3 linked regions of the Lepisosteus oculatus genome follow. The protein of the gene in region 3 interacts with the protein of the main gene of each other region in a pairwise test. Links are inferred from orthologs where the notes say so. Each region holds a gene or a part of one and is shown on either strand. Other genes may lie near its edges. The genes, in order: pogzb, crtc1b and creb1b.

Region 1 (7,216 bases), on a different chromosome or scaffold from region 3:
TACGCGGATCTCGTAGGGATCCGACATAGAAGCAGCCGCCATTATCTCAGTGGGCTTCCAATAAGCGATCACGAGGCGCAGTGCCTTTGCAATTCCGCACGCGCTCTCTGTAAAAGATGAAGCGCGGTGCCTGGCAGTTTCAACCTCCCATCTGTCGAGCTACGAGGTTTGTTTTTTTAATTGAATACATAAAAAACTGAAGGGGGAGCTAAAGGGGTCTGATGTATGATGGGGACAATTGTCATCAATTATCTCAACCGCAGTCTCCTCCCTTATCTTCAAGGCTGCACTGCAGAAGCAAAATGCATTTAACAATACGAGCCGCGCACATAACCGTTTAAAATCACACCCACTCCATTGACTCATCACTGTGAAAACCTGTTTGGCAAAGAGATCCTTGCAGAGTGACTCTTTGTAGAAGGACTCGGATTATTCCACTTCTTCTATGGGGGGGGGGGGGGTTCTACGCCGGGAGATACCATTCAAGCAGAGTTCTAGAAACCTGCTCGAAAAGACCGGCTTGAGAGAACACACAAACGTACAAAATGTAACTCGCACCACAGTAATAATAATAATAATAATAATAATAATAATAATAATAACTTACACTTATATGGACACTCCACTCAAAGCGCTTTACAGGTAATGGGGACTCCCCTCCACCACCACCAATGTGCAGCCCCACCTGGATGATGTGACGGCAGCCATAGTGCGCCAGAACGCTCACCACACATCAGCTATCAGCTGTATAGCTTGTTCCACACTCCCATGAAGTCGCCACTGCTAAATGGTGTTCAGTTTTCCCGTAAGACGAAATCAGAATTGGTAAAGCTTATGATGAGTGTTGTTGATCAGCCACATTCACCCCTGTTGTTGCTGCTGCTGCTGTCGTTGAGTTGAGATATTCCTCAGCCCAGCCTGTCCGTGCTCCTCCGCCAGGTGACCATCCGGGCGTACGCCGTGCAGACCAAGGTGGCCGGTGCGCCCAAGAACGCCCCCGCGCTGCCGCCCCCGGCCCAGCCCCTGGAGGCGGAAAGCCTGCCCCCCAAGCCCGCCGACCCCCCCTCGGGGCTGAGCCCCGCGCAGAAACCCGCCGCCAAGAAGAAGACCGTCAGTAAGATGCTGGAGCTGCTGTCCAAGTTCCAGGAGCAGAGGTGCGGGGGGGTATCTTGGGGGTATGTTGTGGACAAGACAGGAGTGCAGCGTCCCCCAGTACACAGCCGACTCCTGTGGTCTCCAGCTCGGCTGAGGCATTGATCTTGGGTCAGGATTTACCACCACCACCCTGTAAACTGTCCTGGCGAACAGTCACGCCGTCCCTGAGCTGTGAGAGGTCGATCCTTGGAAACGTGCGGAAGACCGTATCCCTCCGGCCTACCAGTCCAGCCCAGGAGGAGGGGGGGACACGGCGCCCTTCTCTATGGGCTGGACCTCGCTGCCGGCGACGGCAGCCATAGTGCGCCAGAACGCTCACCACACATCAGCTATCAGTGGGGAGGAGAGCAGAGTAATGTAGCCAATTCATAGATGGGGATTATTAGGAGGCCATGATTGGTGAGGGCCAATGGGAAATTTGGCCAGGATGCCAGAGTTACACCCCTACTCTTTTCGAGAAACTCCCTGGCATTTTTAATGACCACAGAGAGTCAGGACCTCGGTTTTACGTCTCATCCGAAGGATGGCGCCTGTTTACAGTATAGTGTCCCCGTCACTATACTGGGGCATTAGGACCCACACAGACTGCAGGGTGAGCGCCCCCTGCTGGCCCCACTAAAAACTCTTCCAGCAGCAGCCTTAGTTTTTCCCAGGAGGTCTCCCATCTAGGTACTGACCAGGCTCACACCCGCTTAGCTTCAGTGGGTTACCAGTTGTGAGTTGCAGGGTGATATGGCTGCTGGCCTGTTTTATTTATAATATACCAACCAAATGAATTAATTGTCTTCGGACTTCTACAACCGAAGTGATGTAAAAGCAAATATTTCCCACCCTGGGGTGCACAATCCGGCAAAATGAAAAATCACATACATAACACTCCAGTTCTCCTCCCATCCTCGGGCTCGGAGCGAGTTTGGTTCTGAAATTGTGAGCCAAATAAAAAAAACCTGTACCGAACACCGTGCGTTATAAAAACGCCCGCCCGTTTCACTCTGTCACCGGTGACGTCAGAGTGACGTCGAGACCTCGCAGAAAGTTGACCTCACGACATGAAGGGCCGTTTACGTCATACGCGCAGCAGCCTATCAGAACGCAGCGTCCATCTTCACCCTGCACACTTGCACTGAGGGCTTTTTAAAAACAATAAACGAAACAATGACGTGATAAACCCGCAAGGCAAAAACTGTCCTGCACTCACAGCGCTGGTGCGAGTCACATTATACGCTACACATTGTAGTCCAATATCGCGCCGCATTTCCAGGCTTCTCCTGCACAGCGAGCAATTAAAGTAGCACCCAGCACGCAGGCGGCCAGCGGGGGCGGAGAGACCCAGCAGCTCCCTCCTCAGCCCGGACAGCCCGTCCAACATGGCCGACGCGTCGCCGCGCACACACGCCAGCCTGCCGTCTCCCCCGCGAAACCGGGGGCAGCCGCCTTTAAAGGAACCCCGGGTCCCCCCCCCCCTCTCCCAGACACGCACACGCCAGCGTGCCCGTGGGCTCCGGGGCTGGGGCGCTCGCCGGTCGGGATGGGGGGAGACGGGTCCCCCCGGCAGGACAATGAGCCGCGCGCTCCGACGCCACCAGAGGGAACAATACCCGCCACACAATCACAACAAACTCACCTCGCGTACGTCTGTCCTCCTTCCCCGGTGGGCGACGGAAAATTTAAAAAAAAAATGAAGGAAAAAAAAATTAAAATTCTGAGGAAGCTTCGGGGATTCGCCCACCCGGTGAAAACAAATAAGCCCGATCTGGGGGCAGGCAGGCAGGCGATTTTTTTTTTTCCTCACTCCTCTCTTTTTTTTTGTCGCTCGGCGCTGGTGAGGCCAACGTCACTTCCTCCCTGCCAGCCCGCGGCTCTTATTGGAGGAGAGCGCCGCGAAAGGGGCGGGGGCGGGGTGACGTCACCGAGGCCCTGCCGAATAAAATCCGCCCCGAGCAGAATCTCTCGAAGTAGTTCCTTTTATTGTGGCTCGCGCGGGTCTTTTTGTGTCCATTTTGGGGGAGGAATAAAATAATACATCACATAGTAAGGTGTAAACACTTCCCTCAATTGGACTGATATAAATTTTGAGAACCTACACTTTTAAAAGTCTCAATAAAAGCACCAATTTTGCTTTGGGGGGGCCCTATGCTTTCCACTAAGTGCGTCCATTTTGTGAGGTATTTTGAAAGAAATGATACATGATACACCATTTTAGTATGCGGCAAAACATGAGTCAAGAAAAAGAAACGCAATCAGATATTACATCTATCAAGATATCACATCTTGAATACTCAACGGGGAACACAGTGGAGGTCTTGATCCACCAAATAAAATTTCCCCCTTGGCCACACACATCACACTCCGCCCTATCCAGGCGATGAATATTTATTAAATAACCATACACGAATAATATAAAATCCACAGTATCACATATCATTTTTAATTGGGTGTAAAATACAGTAAATGTAGCCACAGAAAACAAGATGGCGGCCAAACTTGGCCAAGGTGATACTTCAGAAAGGTTTCCATTTAAGAAACGACGATTATTTCCCTTTACTAAAATCGCTCAACAATAAGTGGTAGGCCTTATGAAACAAGAAAGTCTATATAACAATAAAGTCTCACAAAATCCTGTTTCTAAGAAGAGAAATATTGAGTTATATTGCCAACGTAAACGACGGAGGAGCAACGATTTTGCACAGAACAATGGTTTGGCCGACAGGAACGGCTTCATCCACAAGCAAAATGCGCGAACTGCGTCAAACGGTGTCCTTTCTATTGCAGCAATACTTTCTAAACTGTAACGACAGTTTTGTTAATCAAATACGCCAGTGGTTCCTCCGAAATGTTAACATTTTTAGAGACAGGAGAGTACAAACAGATGTACCTTTGCAACAGCTGTGATCGTATGGGTCGAGTGTACGTTATTTCATCATTTATAGGACGTATTTTACTGCGTCGTCGGGGTGACAAAATAAACATTATGCTGCACACCTTCACGGGGAAATATTTAAACAGTGATTTTGAAAATCAATAAAACTGCTACGTAAAAACTGAAAGGAGAATAAGTCTACACACCAAAATGCGTTATCCAACGGCTCGCTGGCGCAGGACCACCCCAGTTGCCCCAAACCAACACGAGAGTATTTGGCATATTCTTGTCAGCGGGCATCCCAACGAAGGCCTTCAGGAAAAAAAAAACATTGTGGTAGTTATTTTGTTTTCATTTTAGATTCGATCTTTTTGTTTTTTTATTGAGTTGTGAAAGCTCAGCAGCTGTGGGAATTGAATTGTTTTAAAACAGGCGCGATTTTGTTTTAAAAAAATCATGTATGGAATGTAAACCCATGCTTTTATAGCACGTTAGCACAAACCGCCCATGTGAGTGTGCGGTCAGGCACTGTGTTAATGGGAGGATGGCGGTCTAAGCATCATTTCTGAGCCGCGAACAGCGGGACATCGCTCAGACGGGCTCGGCGGTTCTCATTCTTATCTGACCTACATACAACGCCGTAGTTCGCCCCGATACAACTCCTGCGATCGTGAAAAATGCGAGGTTTGCAGCGCTCAAATTAATTCTTCCAATTTTCCTTTCTGGGTTCAACACAGATTATTCCAGAATGTCTGGAGGATGTCCACGTGCGTCCAAGATCTGGGTTTAACGGTGAAAAAGATATGTCGCTGAACTAGAGAATAAATTACCTCTGTCATAACGTGTTAATTTTGGCATACCTGGCCGTGTTTTAAACCCTTTAAAATAAGAACTCTCGTTCTATTTTTTGAAATGGATTATTTGGGGCCTGCTTAGGTATTTATTTTTTGTGGCTGTTCTCTGCGCAAACACCCACATTCGAGACAAAACCCCCCTAAGAAGTGGCTCTGGCTGCCCCAGTCACCGCGCAGAGCAGAGCTGCACTGTTGGCAGTAATCGGTCTTAACAGAGGATTCAGAGAGCCGGGGCAAATAACGCAACGAGTGTTCCTGCGCTCGAATTAGTCATTAATCTACTATGGAAGCCTCTAATCAGGTCTGATTTAGCTCGCTTAGGACTATTCATAGCCGCGCTGCTCGGAGAGCTCAGAAACGGGTCGCGTTCTCAAGGCCGACGGAAACCCAGGGGGCAATTTCCTTCCACAGACCCCCTCTTTCTCCTTATCCCCCCTCACCCCAGCTGGTGCCAGGTACCCCGAGGGAGCGACGCCCCCTTCTTCTTGGGAGACATGTGGGACCAGGGGCAGTGGTTCAGTCTACTGACCAGGTGCGGGGCGGTGACCGTCGTGACTGCGATCAGTAAGTCCCCCGTCTGACCGGCTGCCGTTTACACGCAGGATGGCTCGTCTCGAACCTCGCGTCCCGGGGCGTAAATATCACAAGGATTTGGTTCTGGGGGGGATACGAAATCAACGTGATTTTCATTCGTTCTTTGATCAATAAATCATGAAGGAATACTGGTTTTACGCGCTAGAGGCAGCTGAAAAGGTCGGCTTTAGGGCACAGGCCTTTTAATTTGAAAAAAAAATCTTAGTGATGTACAGTAGCACACCATACTCTGGTAGTAACTTCTATTCTAAAATGGGTCATCCGAAAGTTTGTAGGCCGGCCCCGTTTTAAAGACTCGCTTGTGCGTGCCGTGTCCGTGCTCCTGTAGCGTTTCCAGTCGTCATCATCATATTTAGTCGTCATCTTCAAGTTTCACCTCCAGAAGAAAAGGCATCTGCAGGGCACAGTGCAAAGGTCACCTAATAGAGTTCAATAAATCCTGAACTAAGCCAACAGGTTGCCTGTTGAGAATCTTTGCCGCACTCTGTGGTACTGAAAGGATATTTCAAGATACTTGGAACACAGCCTAGATATATAGGAATTGAAAACAGTTAAAATGCAATTTAAGGGTACAAAATAATTCTGTTTTGGGGGTCTACTAAGGGTTAAATTATTTACATTACTCAAGCTAAATTATTTAACTTAAGGGGAACAGAAACCAGTAGGTTTGGGGGTCCCCTGGACCCCAGAACCGGTCCTGGAACACCTGATATAGGTGGATTCCCATTATACTTGGGAGTATGTGTGAATGCGTTGGGAGATACACACAAATATGTCCGTGAACTATTTTAAAAGGGTGTTTTATATAAAGGAGAAGCCCTGAGTCATTGTCTAAGGACCTGGCTCACCCGAGTGTTTCTATACCAGGTTTCTGAGGCATCAGTCTCTCCTAGACGGAATTCCAAAATAATAATTCCTAACGGACCAGTGCTTCTCAAGCAGGGTCTGGGAATTCCTGCCTTTTATTCCAGCAGGGTTCCTTCTTAATTACACGTGTTCGAGCCAGAATTGAACGCTTGGCTGTTCGGAGAAAAAACAGCTCCGGCCTCTGGACAGTAAGAGAGATTGAGACGTCATCTTCCACCCCTTGGCCAGGAGCTGGGATTCAGAATTCCTCTCGGCTGTGACAGTGGTTTCAAGGGGAAGTGTAATCAGTGGTGCTAGACAGTGTGAAATTCTATAATCCGAGTGCCTGTCACAGTGTCATTGCCGTCTGCGTGGATGTGTCGCTCACTGACGGACAATGAGGTGTTCAGAAATCTTATTGGATGTGACAGCGACTATTTTACACCCAGATGAAATAGAGATTGTGTTCGCAAAGCACCCTGGTAAAAATACACATAAAGGAGCTGGTTGTTGAGCAAGCAGGAGGAGTGGCAGAGAGTCTGGATTGCAAACTGATAGGTTTGGGACCAGTCCTTGGCAGATCTGTCTCTTTGAGAGAGGGACATCATTCAGATTGCTTCAGTAAAATGCCTGTGTAAATGGCTCCAACTGGAAGAAAAATACATTAACAGTGCTGATTACTTCCAAAGCTGAGACCTTAGTACAGTATGAAAACCAAACAGCCCGTGTGATTAAGGATTTCATAATCCCGGCCAATTAGCAGTAGATGTGGAACAAAATCCCAAAGACACAGAGATTGCAGCCAGGTCACTTGGTTAATACTCACACTCTTATGAACAGTTAATAATAATTAATAATTGCTTCCACTTACATAGCGCTTTTCTGGACACTCCACTCAAAGCGCTTT
Region 2 (7,311 bases), on a different chromosome or scaffold from region 3:
GTATTTTTGCTGTGGCACATCTACATTTATCTACAAAATTAGATTAGTGCAATAAGTTGTGTGGCCACTCTGTGCAATGATAGTGGTTGGCTTGATTTCAGAACAAATATACCTGTCTCTGAAAGGTCTTTCACTCAGGTAGAAACTTTCCCGCAAAGATTCAAACACGAAAACCATGGCGCTTTCAGAACAGCTGAGCGATAAAGTTATATAAAGATACAGTTCAGGAGAAAGGTAACATTTCAAAGAGCCTTGATATCTCGTTGAGCACGGTGAAGGTGGCCGTTAAGGAGTGGAAAGCACACAGACGCAGCCTGAAGGAAGAGGTGAGAGATACAGAGCTCAGTGGCTGAGATGGGAGAAAACGTCCGTGGGTCATCAGTGTTCTGATCACTCCAAAAAAGCGTGTGTATAGGTCTGAAAACAAATGTAAGATTTCAAACGTGGCAAAATGTTTGCCAAAATAAAATGGAAACTTTTTGATCTAATTGCAAAAGAATGTTCTTGACCGGCACAGTCAAAGGCCTGACTTGAACCCTACTGCTTTTACAAAGCAATGTTTCACTAGAGCTTCACGATGTGTGCAATGGGCTGTGAGCCAAGAATTCAGCTATAGCAAACTCTTCTGAGTGCGGCTGCAACATCCATGCAGCACCCTTGGCACTAAATAGCATTTCTCATTTAAAAAAGAATAAAATGCTTTACTGGTGTTCCTTGGTCACTTGCTGTGAGACAGATGGCAACATGGTCACATGTGATGTCAAAAAGGAAAACTTATTTACATTATTCTCCTTTTATCCCAGTACTGGCCATTGCCAGAAAACGTGCATGCTGCAGTACATGAAATTTACTTTGGTGCTTTTTTTTTGCAAAGAAAAATACAGAAATGTAGTTATATTACTTATAAATCTTATGCAATATTCATTTAAATAGTCTCTTTTGACCATTTGTTTGAGAGTTTTTTAAAGTGATTAATATTTTATGTTTAATAGAGGTGATCTTGCATCTGTTAGGTATGAATCTTCCTGTTGTCACTAATTATTGATTAGCTTAAAGATAAATATTCTAGGAAAAAAGACACCTAACTAAGGGAACTAAGGGAGGAAATATATAACTAAAGCACTGAATGGAATCCTTTGTGACTTTCTAGAAAATAGTACATTATAAATCATTCTCTGTAGAATTCAAAATAATCTTCTTTGAAAAATCCTTTCCAGGGGACTTCTTAAATAAACAGAGTGATAGCATTTGCTCATCTAACTATAAACTCATATCAACAGGCAAACGTTTTTGATATATGCAGCACATTATAAAAGTAGGCAAGGCAGCTGATGGTATCACCAAAAATAAAAGATTCTACAGCTGATATTATTAAATAATACATGAGTGCAAAAAGCGTAACATTGGATCACAAAAAAAAGACATGTGGGGTGAAAACTGAAATGAATAAAGAGAGATTTAGTGCATTGGTCTTTTACTTGCAGGGTAATCTGCACATGAGTTAGTTATGACCTTGTTTTCAACTCTTGGGCTCGAGAGATCAGACCTGCTTTTCAATTATGCAAGAGAACAATCTGCGCTTTCCAAATTTTCATGTCATTCCATCTTAAACAAAATGGCATTTATAGGACAAAACGTCAGATTAGGAAACATGCGGTACATAATGTAAATAAAAATGGACAGAAAAAGAAATTAAATCTAGTAATAAATATAAATTACATTCATAGCTTAGGAAGTTGAGAGTTTGCTTAAAAGTGTTCTTGGTGCAAGACAAATAGATTGCAATGAAAACAGAAACCTTTCTCCCCTAGTAGAACCCCAACCCTGTCACATGTGTTTTCAAAATGATCTTCCACAAACTGTGCAGGTGCCTTGATGTCCCAGTCCTGGGTGTACTAGGGATTTCCATGTTCTGCCTTGTTCATGTGTTTCCTTTGTTCCTACAGTATGTGCTTAATGATTTCATGCAGGTGTTATCCCTACATGAAGAGTGGAAGTGAGTCATCTTTGTTCATGATCCTAACCCCACAGGAGGTTAATGTGCAAGATGTCTGTCCATCATTCTAGAGTAGACCACTATTCCATTAAAGTACTGTAGCATCTGAAAAATCTTACACACAGCCAGTAAATGTGTGTGCACAAGCCAAGGGGAGAAAGAGTTTTGGTTTATCATTCCCAGAACTGCTTTATCCAATTCAACTCTTCGAACTCTTTGAACATGTTATTCATGCTGAAGGAGTTACAGTACGTAGCTTTGCAAGGAAGATCCTAAGATGAGTAAAACAATGGAGCCTTATACAGGAAGACATGTCAGCCAATAACAAGATGGTGTCACTCCTTTCTTTAGATTAAAGTCTGCTGTTGCTTTCAGGGGCTGATTCTTTCCTAGAGAATCCGTTTTGCTTTTTTCAGGGAAAGTTGGCTTTTGCACATGTCACCCTGGAAGAGTGGCTTCCACCTCAACCACTCCTGTTCTTCCCTGTGAGAATGAAATCTTCTGTGTGCTGGTAAGGTCATCTGCAGCAGTTGAGTGTATTTATTAGAGCTGAAGAGGACATTAATAGAAGCCAGCATTCATGAGGCTTGCCAGACAGGGAGACGTGATTATTCTGCACTTTTTCCTTTTCAAGCGCTGGACAAAGACAGGACTTCAAGGTTTTTTTGCAGCCAAGAGCCTTCTGCACAGCTTCCCACATCCCTCTCTCAGCCCCCTCTCCCCACCCAGCGGTTTCCTTGGTTACTTTACAGTTGAGTCTATACCAGGGCCAACAGCAGGTTCAACAGCAGAGGTATTGTTGTTTCTGCCTTTATTGCCTGTAGCTCAAACTCCAAGGTTAAATATCTCATTTGTCCTTGTACGCTTCACAGAAGCTCTGGCTCTGAGTTTTTAGGTAACTGCGGGCGACTCAACACAAGATGTTAATAACTTCAGAGCTTCCAGCTAAAATAAGAGTGTCCAGCTTACACCGTTTCCTCCTCCCTGTTCATTTGTCTCTGCAGACCATCCATCCCCTTTCAAAGCAGGTCATCAAGGAGACAATCCCAGAAAGCAACAGGCACAAGGCAGGACACACCCTGGACGCCAGTCCATCACAGGGCACACAGTCACACTCACACCAGGGCCAGCTTCCCCAGAGGCCAATTAACCTACCAGCATGCCTTTGGCTGGGAGGAAACCGCAGCACCACGCAAATGAGGAGAAATTAGAACCCAGGACCTCAGTGCTGCGAGGCAGCAATGCTAACTACTGCCCAGCGTGCTGTCCTCTCTCTACATGCCAATAATGTTGGGGGCCGATGGAGCCTCTATCTGTGTAGATCTGAGAGCCAGATGTCTCTCTCGCACTCCATAACTAGATTAATCCTCAAGTCACAACATCCTTAAGCCCTGTCAAGTTCATCCGAGAGTGGCAACAGATGTTGACAGTGGCCTGAAAGAACGAGATGGCTTTGGTTTCATGTTGCATTTTGTCAGTGGGATGTTTTTTATTCCAGATTAGAACAAGAAATATTTCTGTGAAGACCATTTTTTTATTTTTCTGTAATGGCCAAACTAACATAGATTTGACTAATTGAATTTATTTTTGGATTTAACCTGCCATGTTTGTTGACACAATGTAAATAGTTCTAAAAAGGTGCAATTGTAAACTCAAAGAAAAGACGAAAGAATAAACTATGCCTATTTTACTTTGCCGTTTCATCAGTAAATAAAAAGTTAAAATCATAGTTTTATTTTGATTCGATTAATTTTAATCATCACAAGTGTAGTTGAATTCTGACCATTTCTAGTTCAGGATTATTTATCTGTGATATTTGTATTCGTTTCACATGGTGATCATGTGTGTTAGTTCATTGCAAATACAAGAAAAAGAACACAGTATAAATATGACATAACCAAAATTTATGAATCCTACTTTACAGGATGGGCAAACTCTTTAGTAGATGGTAATGTGTACCAGATGACTCAACAATCCTCTTAATGTAGCCATTAACAACACAGAACCAATGTCAAAGTCAGGCATGTCTTTTGATTCTGAAGGACTGGGAATGAATGAATAAAACAACGTTTCAGGTATTTATATTGCTGGCTTCTCGTTAATGTTCTAAGCTAAGCTCGGAGTAGAAAGGTTGCGACATTTATAAAAAAAACAAGGTTACAAAGGAGGTAATTCGGTCCATCTAGCACATATATTCCATGCATATAAAAATATATAAAAACTAGTTCAGGTTAAATTTACCCATCCCACACCACTGAGCCGAGAGCAGACGGGGGTGGCGATGTGCGGCACAGCGTCGTGTGCGTGATGACGACGCCTACGCGCGGGGACGTGGGCACGCTACGTCCCGTTGAGGGAAAGAGGAGGAGAAGAGCGAAAGATGGCGACCTCAAACAATCCGCGGAAATTCAGCGAGAAAATCGCTTTACATAACCAGAAGCAGGCCGAGGAGACTGCGGCTTTCGAGGAGGTGATGAAGGACCTGAGCATCACCAGAGCGGCGCGGGTAAGCGGGCCCCGGCGTCGTTTTGTTGTGGTCCCTGGGCTGCAGCGTGCAAGGCGAGCCCCGTTACCTTGGCCGTGGAAGTAAACAATAACAAACCCCCCTATCAATGCAATCGCTAATCGATAGGCGAGATTGATGGCGATTCGGCTGATGGACGGCATCCGCGCCGTGCACCGTGCACGACTCTCTCCCCCAAAACCCCGGGGTTTCTGGTTCGGTCTCACCGAGGAAAGTTGCATCAATCGCCAAGACGGCACTGCAAGTGATGACAGTTCGCTGTTCATGTGTAACTTGTGTTGTCGGTGCGTTGTGTTCGGACTCTCCGCGGCGGTCGACTAAACGCGCCGTCCCCCCCTCTCCACCCTGTGGAAGAGCATGCATGTCCCCCCCGGTCCCCAGGCTGCAGCGTGAAACGGTATCGGCTGAGGCTGAGGCTGAGGCTGGAGGTGTGCATGGCGAGGACAGCCCGGACCCCCGGGTCGCTAAGCAGGCGTGGGGAGAGGGAAAGTCTGAAGGTGGCCGGGCAGGCGGTGCACCCCGCCAAGGCAGATTCCCACTTCCCGTTTCTGTGAGTAAATCGCGCCCACAGCTGTCAGCGGGAGCGAGTTGGCAGCGGGGAGGGTGGGTGTTCGCGCTGAACTCAGTAAATCAGATAAAAATGTGTTCACCGAGGTGAGCGGAAAATTGGAAATTAATTTCAGGGCCGAAGCATTTCAAGTTACCGTACTATACTGACGCCGGGGCACGGGCGGTGGGGAGTTTATGTGTAATTTGCACGGGCGTTTTTCATTTCTGCACAGATTGACTGCGAAGTCCGGCCCTGGACTTCGCCCGAGGTGCGGTAGGGCGCTCACGCCGGTACAGACGTGTAGCTTTGGGGAAAGAGAGCATCAGCTGTCCGGCGGAGCCGCCGAACCCCTTCTCGTGTTTTTGCTGCATTAAAGAAATTGCACGGTGTTCAAAAGGGGCGGGCTTTTTTTTTTGGGGGGGGGGGGTTGTTGTTGTTGGGGTAACGGGGGGACGTGTTCGTGGGCAGGTGCCGGGTCGTGTGGGCAGCCTCACAGATGACTGTTTCGGTGCTGTCCGGGGGGAGATGAGGCATCACCTCACATGCAGCCAACTTGTTCCGATGCGTTGCTGTCAGAGCGGTCTTCTAATCTGATTGTCACGGAAGGCATTTGCAACCCCCCGGCAACCTTTCCAGATGTGATTTATTTTGCCTAATACCGCAATTCTCGTGCATACAGCACACACACACACGCACGCACACACACACTCCCTGACCTACTTCAGTTATGGCCTTCGCGTTCATCGATCACCAGAGTTCGGGATTTTTTTTTTCCACCCGTGTTGGGAAACATCTGGCGCTGTTATTCGTACAGATAGGCGAACTGCGTCGCACGTTCAGCGCTGGAAACGCATGCCAGTGTCCCTGTTGCCGCTGTAGCCATCGCCAGCGCCTGTCCGCTCCGGGAATCAGGAGGAAGCGCCTCTCACACAGGCTGTGCGTAAAAGCACCGCGCATCTTTATCAACAGACTTGTTAGGGTGTCTATTTAAAACCCAAAATTCAAATATACTCTACAATAAGTGTCTGCTTTAGGGTAGGGTAATAGTATTTGTCAATGCAGCGCATGATGTTTATGCACAGTCTCCATAATAAACATGTTTCAACGGAAGAACTTGACTAGCAAGATTTGACACTGATCTTGATCTTGCTGCCTGGTATCTGATGTTCATCAAAAGTGCTCTACATCCTCTGACCATACACTTGGGGACTGAGTGTGCTTGATCAAAAGGGCACGTTATCATTATTGTTCAGTTCTTACATGTATTTTTAGTAAAATTTAACTTCGGTAACTGTAAAAGTTCCTGAAATCCGTTTTAAACAGGCTTGATAGAAGCAGACTTTCCCTTGTTTTGTGTACGTCTCAGTTTGTGTTCAGCAGTCACTTGAGACATACCTTACTCATCATACTGTTTGCATGTTTGTTTTCTAACATTATAATATCACAGAATTATGCCAACTGATGCAGACACCAGACGTTTTGTCCAGATACCCAACTGGCAAAAGCTGACATAAAAGGAAAAGATGATTAAAAATAAACTGCTGTTAATTTGCCTCAAGTGGTTCTTGTAAACTGTCGAGTGTTATTGGGGAAAATGAGAAGATCAGCTTAACTTTTAAAAAAAACGTTCTGTCATAATGAATTGTTATAGGAGTACACTGTATATAAGCTTTTAAAAATATCCTGTTTTCACTTGCAGCGATTACACCGTTATATCAATTACTTAGTAGGCTGTGCTCCTGAGCTCTGTCTGTTGTCCCAGTTCTGATGGCGGATTATAAATTAAAATGAAGTAAAGCCTCTTTGTTGATTTCCTAAACGCCATGTTTTATTTAATTCCTTTGTCAGCCCAACGGAAGCTGGTACTTTACTGGGCGATCATAAATAAATTCAGGCACCCCGGTGTCCTCCGTCTATGGGCCATGATTCCTGTCCTTAGCTTTAAGCAGTTTCCCTGGCAGCCGTCCCCATCTTCCTTACCTCAAGAGGCACGAGCCCTGAAAATGACTTGGCCCATTAGATCTGTTTCGGAGATGCTGGAGTCAGTGTATTTATGCACCCGGCTTTTTTAGAGTTGCATCCGTTTGGTAAACGTTGGGTTTTTCCATAAATTTAAAGAACCAAAGCCATCTGAAGACTGTTGATTAATTCTTATACGCAGTTGTCAGGATCCACTGTATGTCGGTGAGCTGCTGGGTTTTTGTTTGTGTCTAGTGTTCGATGCTGTGCAGGTGAGTGCCA
Region 3 (7,824 bases):
TAAATTGTGTCTTCATCTCGCTGTGCAGCGGTGAGCAAACTCGGTCCGCGAGGTTGACTCTCTTTCGTTCCAGCCCTCATCTCATCGTTGCCTCAGTGGGCAAACTGTGCCCGTTTGTCTGCCAGGACTTCACTGGTTCTATTTAAAACACGACAATGTTGCCTAGAGGACTGGACTAGACTGAGGCTTGTTTCACACAGCTTACAGTACGTGTTGAAAACAGCAGTGTCATGAAGTCGCAGACGAAAAAAAATAAAAATAAAAAACAAAACAAAACAAAAATGAAGTCTCAGGCGAGAATGAAGCTTCAGGGCTTCCACACATGAGAGGGCTGCAGTCACACAGGTCCTTTATCCAGCCAGTGCAGGCCAGCAGCCACGTGTTTGTGCTCTGGGGAACCTCTCACCCGGTTCAGACAGGAACGGCCCTTGCAGTCCAAGCAGACAGAACGTGAGTTCATGCTGCCATCTGCTGGCCAAACGTTTTTTTGGTTTCTTTTTTAATCCAGAATGAGCGGGAAGGGGGCCAATAACATACACCAGTCCGGCCGGTTTTGTTGTTGTCAATAATAATAATAATTCCTTACACTTATATAGCACTGTCCTGGGCACTCAACTCAAAGCGTTTTACAGGTAATGGGGATCCCCTCCACCACCACCAGTGTGACTCCCCACTTGGATGATGCGACAGCAGCCATAGTTCACCAGTACTCTCCCCATACACCAGCTCTCAGTGGGGAGGAGAACAGAGTGATGAAGTCAGTCCAGAGATAGGGATTATTAGGAGGCCATGATTGGTAAAGGCCAGGGGGGAATGTGGCCAGGACGCCAGGGCGAACACCTCTACTCTTTTCGAGAAACACCCCGGGGTTTTTAATGACCACAGAGAGTCAGGACCTCGGTTTTACATCTCATCTGAAAAACAGCACCTTTTTTACAGTATAGTGTCCCCATCACTATACTGGAGCATTAGGACCCACACAGACAGCAGCATGAGCGCCCCCTGCTGGTCCCACTAACATCTCTTCAATCAGCAACTCAAACCTCCCATCCAGGAGTCTCCCATCCAGGTACTGACCAGGCTCACACTGCTGAGCTTCAGTGGGCTGCCAGGTGCGAGTTGCAGGGTGATATGGCAGGTGACACTACCGTTGTTAAAGTCCAGGGATGAGAAACAAGCTGCTGATGAAATACCTGTTTCCTGGTTGGCCATAAGTGACCTAACCAGTCAGTACAAGAGTGCTGTTAGTGATTGCTGATGACTGGCTGCTCCCTCCAGTGCGATCTGTCCTAATTGACCCGATGAAGACTGTGATAAAGGCTACACTGCAGTGATACACAGGACCACACACCAGGCCAGATCCAACATGCTGCTGACAAAATGCAGAGATAGATAAGATAGATAATACTTTATTAATCCCATAGGGAAATTGATGTGTTACAGCAGTCCAGCCCAAGACAAGCAAAACAGACATCAGAATAGTTATAAAACAAAATAAATAAAAAATAAATAAATTGTGCTTTTGTGTTTCCAAACAGATATGAACACTCTGACATCTCTGACTTTCCAGATTACTGCCTTCTCTCTTAACTCCTTTATTGCTCCATATAATTGCTGCAAGATGCTGGTGGGCCAGTAGGAGGCGCTCTTCCACTGGACCAGACCGTCATAAGAATGTAAGAAAAGGTTACAAACAAGTAGAGGTCATCTGGCCCATCCAGAATGTTTGGCGGTTAGCGGCTAATTGATCGAAGGATCTCACTCTCCCCTGGAAAGAAGCCGGGGCATCGGCATTGAACATGGATGGGCGGCTTGTTCCACACTCCCACCACTCTTTGGGTAAAGAAGTGCCTCCTGTTCTCAGTTTTAAATGCACCACCCCGTAGTTTCCACTATGGCCCCCTGGTTTGTGTTGTGCTTTTCATGCCAAAGAAATTGGCTGGGTTGACTTTGTCACTGACTTTGGGGATTTTGAACAACAAGGGATAAATTCCCTCAGCCTGTTTATGCAGGACCTTGGTTTAATCCCTGGAATGTATCAGGTTGCTCTTTTCTGGATGGACTCCAGGGCTGCAATATTGTTTTATACTGCCGTGACTGAAATTGTACACAGTATCCTACATGGTCCTAACGCCCTCGTGTCATCTTTGAGTTAGAAGATGACCGCTGTACGTTAGGGAGCAGTTTCATAACCCGGTAACCCGATCTTGCCTGAACTCAGAAGCCAAGCGAAGCTGAGCCCGGTCAGAACCGGGATGGGAAACCTCTGGGGATACTGGGGATACTGTTATAAATGGTGGGACTCTAGGTGGTGTTCTTCCCTCTGGATTATCTTTCCATACATTCATTTTTAACGGCTTTATTCAATACAGGGATAAGGGGGAGCCAGAGCCTATCCCAGCAAGCAACGGGCTCCAGTCTGGATACACCCCGGACAGGACACCAATCCAGTGCAGGGCACACATACTCACGCCAGGGGCAGGAGTGCAAACCTAACCGCTGCACCAGTATTTCACCCTTTCCCCCAGATCACAATGTCCCTGTATAAATATCCTAGTATGGTGTCTGGAAACACTGCACTGTAGGAGGTGCTGTCTGTCAGATGGAACCTTAATCTGAGGTCCTCATGACTTGGGTCATTAGAGATCCCCTGGGCTGTTAGCAAGAACAAGGTTATTAACCCCAGTGTTAATAGGGTTAAATTCCACACTGGGCTTGTACAGTCGGGTCATCCAAAGGTTAATTCACCTGGTGAAGCAGTTTCCCTCTCCCTCTGACCTGCTGATACAGTAACTCCAGCGTTGTGTGTCTCCCAGGTGGGGATACTGGTACAGACTGGCTGCTGTGTGTCTCCCAGGTGGGAATACTGGTGCAGACTGGCTGCTGTGTCTCCCAGGTGGGGCTACTGGTGCAGACTGGCTGCTGTGTGTCTCCCAGGTGGGGCTACTGGTGCAGACTGGCTGCTGTGTGTCTCCCAGGTGGGGATACTGGTGCAGACTGGCTGCTGTGTCTCCCAGGTGGGAATACTGGTACAGACTGGCTGCTGTGTGTCTCCCAGGTGGGAATACTGGTACAGACTGGCTGCTGTGTGTCTCCCAGGTGGGAATACTGGTGCAGACTGGCTGCTGTGTGTCTCCCAGGTGGGAATACTGGTGCAGACTGGCTGCTGTGTCTCCCAGGTGGGGATACTGTTGCAGACTGGCTGCTGTGTCTCCCAGGTGGGGATACACTTCAGTGGTGGGTGAAATGGGTACACTACTAGATGTAAAGCACTCTTGAGATCACTTGGAATGAAAAGTACTATATACTGCAAATACACAGAATTACTGTTATTAACATCACTGACACTGTCAAGATAGTTAATAATTTTGAACCATGTTTACTTTTTAACCTCCCTATTCCCAATTAAAGATAATCAAATCACCTCATTCTGGTTTTCAAATCTTTCAACACACCCATGGCAACAATTGGTAATGAACACCAGTTAAGGGAGCGGACAGGCCGGGTACTGATGGCGCTGAAGGCCACTAGGTGGCACTCTTGCCTTCACAACACTGGGCTCCCCGTGTCTTCAGGAGAGACCCGTCTCCGCAGCATTCCCATCTCAACATCAAATCAAATAACCTCGGAGGTTCCACGGGTTCATATCCCCGTATTCACGAGCGGCACAGTTCTCAATGCTGCTGGCGGCTCCCGTGCAGTACAGCGCACTGTCTGTCAGAACGTGAATCCCTGACATATCGATATAGACACCGCGCGCTGAAATGAAAACTGGGGGCCTGGCTTCGCGTGCCATGCAACTCCGGGCACACGCCCCTCCTCGGCGGGGGCCATGAGGTCTAACTTCTACCTTGGTTCAGGTTTTGAAGAAAACAAGACGCGAGTCTCCTTCAAACCCTGAAGCCCGCTGTCTCTCGGGATGATGACACTGTTATTGTGATCGTGTTACTGTCTATTGTCTTGTCTGCTGTTCTATTTATATACCCCACCCGGGAGAGACTGAGAAACACTTTTCACTGTACTACGCACCCGTGGAAGTATAATGACAAATCAAGTAGAATTGAATCCCGAACTGCCCGGCACGGTCTGCAGGCAGACACGCTGCGCTTTCATCTCGCTGAGGCAGTGAAGAAACACACGCTGTCGTGTGACCCTAACCCCGCTTTTGGACAAGTTGTATACAGTTGCATCGTCATGTTATTGTGCCGTGGTGCCGAGATAGAAACCAAGAGCTTGGCAGTTGCGACACTAAATTTACTGTCCGTCAACATGGCCCTAAGATCCCGTGTTCAGCTGCCTTTCACACATACAGAAGCCTGGGTGATAAACTGTAACCTCGAAACCTTGACGAGAATTATGTGTCAGGAATATATATATGTATGTTACTCTGTAATAACGGTATTCGCTGGCTGGTCCAGAATCCAACCTGATTTAATAAGAGTCGAGAGCGCCGAGACGCGACTAACAGCACCCTCACCTTCATCCCTAAACTTCCTTAACACATACATAACAAATCCTACTCGACAGCGTGCATTTATTCGCTCACGTAATATAAGACCAGCTTTCGACGTTAGATGTAACACACGCACTAAACACAACGAAACAGCGTTCACCAGCACCACTGAAAGCGCAACACCCTTCCCAACTAAATAAAGCTTACCCTCGCACATGCGCAGCTCACACCGTTCCCTTCTGCCCGTGCATTTCCGAAAGGGCTCGGGACGCCGTTCGGTAAACTCCGTCACGGCTTCGGCATATTTCGGCGCCGGCTCGGCCCTACCCGATGGTGCTTGCTGAGCTAATTTTCGTCTCCCTCGTTCTCCGTGTTGTTGTTTCCCGGTGACGCGGCGGAGGTGTAGCCTGACGCGGTCTCTTACGTGTCGGCCTGAATAAAAGTGGAGCTCCGGGGGCCCGGGAGTGACGGAGGGAGTCTGTACCGGTAAGAGAGGAGAAGTGTCCTGGGGGGTGGAGGGAGACAGGACGCGTCCCGGAGCGGGTGCGAGTGTCGCTGGCCTCGGCCCCGGGGAAACAAAGAGAATCATGGCGGCTGGCGGGGCTCGCAGGCGAGCTAGCTGAGGCAAGGCGGGCGGGAAGGGAGGGGAGTCTGCGGACTGACCACACGGAGGGAGCGGGCCAGGACGACAGCGGCGCGGGTGTTTGCACAACTTATTTCACCCCCGCCGAGACAGCCCTGCCCGCCGGAGCCGTTGCGACAACCGTGCAGGCGCCCTCCGCATCTGTGTGCTTGTGGCGCGTTTGTGCGCACAAAATAATAATAATCATCATCATAATCATAATAATAATAAACGGTAGTGGGATGCACCAGAAATAAATAAGGATGCGGAGATAACGGTCCGAGGTGGTGTTTATTTTGGCATTAGAAACGTAGCTGCCCCCTTTTTTAAAAAAAAAAAAACCCCAAACAAAATCCTCATCTTCCCCTGCTGTAGAAGAGGCTGCGTTTGTGTCAGTTTTTTTTTCCTCCCCGTTTCGGAAGATCCCCACTATGGCTGTGCAGCTGAATTTGAAATACAGAAATATGCACGCACACACACATTAAAAAAAAACAAAACAACAAGTGCTGAACCCGTGTCAACGTCGCCGGGCTGCGTGTGTGTGTGTTGGTGTTGGTGTCGGTGTCGGTGTGGGGCTTTTATTTCTCCCCCACCCGAGGGATGCGATCGCGGGTGGCCTCCGTGGCAACGAAGATTTCTCGGCGTTTTCGAAGAAGATGGGGAGCACAAGAAAAACTTTGTGTCTGCAGCCCACCTCCCCCCTCGTCGTGGAAGCTGGGGGGGGGGTCGTACATGTGTGTTAAAACGGGGCCCAGATCAATGCAGACAGCTGACGGGTTGTGATCTATATATATATAAAAATAGCGAGCTGGCCGAAGGAGGGCCGATCAAGTCCCCCTGTGTGGTGTGGGGGTCCCTAGCGCCTATCCGGGCCCGGCCTGCGCCCCCCGGTTCCAGCTCAAGTGCCTTTCCTCGGTCTGTTTTATTTTATTTTCCTAAATCGCGGTGGGGAGGAGTGGGTGTGACCCGTTCAGCCTGCCGGCTCGTCTTCACGCCCCCCTACCTGGGCGGTCAGGCCGCAGGATCGGTGCGTTTAAAGTCGCCGGGGCGTTTCTGGCCCAGCGACCCCCCCCCAGTCAACAGGCCTGGGCGCCGGGCAGCCGGCTCGGCGGCGGGGTCTCTGGCAGAATCCGGCCCCCTCACCAAGAAGACCGGCGCTCCGAAATCCGGGTTTCATGCAGCAGGAGAGGAGCTTCACTTGTATGATGAACTACACTGCAGGGTGGAAGAGCCCACTGGCAGGTGTGAACTGGTTTCTCAGATCGCAGAGTTCAGAGATCCTGCCCCGGGGGAAACAAGGAAATATTTCCCGAGCAGTGTTCTGGCGCAGAGCGCTCCTTTGTTTTGGGTGTTTGTGTTGGGGAGGGCAAACGCCAATCACATTTTTATCACGGAAGCCTCGCGGGGAATTCCGCGTGGAATTGTTTCCAAACACTTGGATCAAATTTGTTCAAATCGGCAAAAAAAAACATACAAAAATGAAAGGGCCAGTTGTTTTGAAGCTAGAAGGTCCAGTTTTTTATATTTCTCTTTGGTAGAGGAGGATACAGTGGGGGAAAAAAATGTGCTTAGTTTAATTTTCTATACACAGAAAACACATCACGATATGTTTCCCTTCATCCTCCCAGAGGGCTCAAGGGCATTTAAAACTGTGAACGGGAGACACGTCTTTACACAGAGGGTAGCGGGGGCGTGCAACAGGCTGCAGCTAGTTTCCAGAAAGAGGTATGAATGCGCTTGTGAATAAAAGCAGCTCCGCTCCTTGGCGGTTTTGCCTGGTCTGCTCTGGGAAGCCGTGAAGCAGCAGATGTGGTTACTTTGAAGAATCGGACTGAAGCACATGAGCATCTCCCACACTGCAGCGGTGTGGAATAAATATATATACAGAACTGTAAGTTTACGCTCTAAATGAAGCTGTTAAAACTACACATAAATTAACAGAGAGGAGTCACTTCTTTTAAGCCTGTTTCTGAGCGAATGAGGAATAGGTGGAGTATGTGGAGCGCTTCAGCAGCATGTTGTGGGAGGTGGAGGAATGTGGAGGAGGGGTTTGGTCTGGAAGCAGCAGGCTGCAGAGGTACTGCATTACAGAGGTGCATGTGTGCCAAGAGGGAGCCACAAAGATCTGTCTGCTGGGAGCGGGTTTGATTTCTTCCCCAAGTGGGAAATGACCAGTTTTGTTGTTGTCGTTCCCTGTTGATGTTTTGCTTTGCCATGTTTATAAATGCGAGTGGGGCTGGTTATTTCCACGGGGCTCCAGTTCATTGGGTTCGACACGTTGTGTGCAGGTGGGGTACAGGTGACAGTCACAGTGCAGGGCTGGAGTTCGTGTTGAGTCCCCTGTGTGCAGTTCTGGTGGGAGATGGGGTACAGGTGACAGTCACAGTGCAGGGCTGGAGTTCGTGTTGAGTCCCCTGTGTGCAGTTCTGGTGGGAGATGGGGTACAGGTGACAGTCACAGTGCAGGGCTGGAGTTCGTGTTGAGTCCCCTGTGTGCAGTTCTGGTGGGAGATGGGGTACAGGTGACAGTCACAGTGCAGGGCTGGAGTTCGTGTTGAGTCCCCTGTGTGCAGTTCTGGTGGGAGATGGGGTACAGGTGACAGTCACAGTGCAGGGCTGGAGTTCGTGTTGAGTTCCCTGTGTGCAGTTCTGGTTGGAGGTGGGGTACAGGTGACAGTCACGCTGCAGGGGTGACAGCTGCACCTTTGGCACCTGGCTCCTCTGCTGGAGAGAGGCGGCTCCAGCTCAGG

The links.
Region 1: the proteins of creb1b (region 3) and pogzb interact in a two-hybrid assay, tested with the Homo sapiens proteins (2 studies listed by BioGRID and IntAct). The link is inferred for Lepisosteus oculatus from reciprocal best matches to the Homo sapiens genes CREB1 and POGZ.
Region 2: the proteins of creb1b (region 3) and crtc1b interact in binary tests that used the Homo sapiens proteins (3 or more experiments, as listed by UniProt). The link is inferred for Lepisosteus oculatus from reciprocal best matches to the Homo sapiens genes CREB1 and CRTC1.

What each region holds. Positions count from the first base shown.
Region 1 is NC_090722.1:3,869,088-3,876,303, reverse strand, and holds the start of pogzb (pogo transposable element with ZNF domain), read right to left. Parts: upstream 3,005-7,216; 5' UTR 2,785-3,004; coding exon of another isoform or gene 2,684-2,784; exon of another isoform or gene 2,681-2,683; intron 2,425-2,680; exon of another isoform or gene 2,354-2,424; intron 2,330-2,353; exon of another isoform or gene 2,026-2,329; intron 1-2,025. Other genes in the region: retinol dehydrogenase 13, read left to right, coding at 2,684-2,784, 5,315-5,433. UniProt on the Homo sapiens protein: Plays a role in mitotic cell cycle progression and is involved in kinetochore assembly and mitotic sister chromatid cohesion.
Region 2 is NC_090724.1:2,622,022-2,629,332, reverse strand, and holds the start of crtc1b (CREB-regulated transcription coactivator 1b), read left to right. Parts: upstream 1-4,300; 5' UTR 4,301-4,376; coding exon 4,377-4,502; intron 4,503-7,311. UniProt on the Homo sapiens protein: Transcriptional coactivator for CREB1 which activates transcription through both consensus and variant cAMP response element (CRE) sites.
Region 3 is NC_090707.1:7,622,241-7,630,064, reverse strand, and holds the start of creb1b (cyclic AMP-responsive element-binding protein 1b), read left to right. Parts: upstream 1-4,808; 5' UTR 4,809-4,939; intron 4,940-7,824.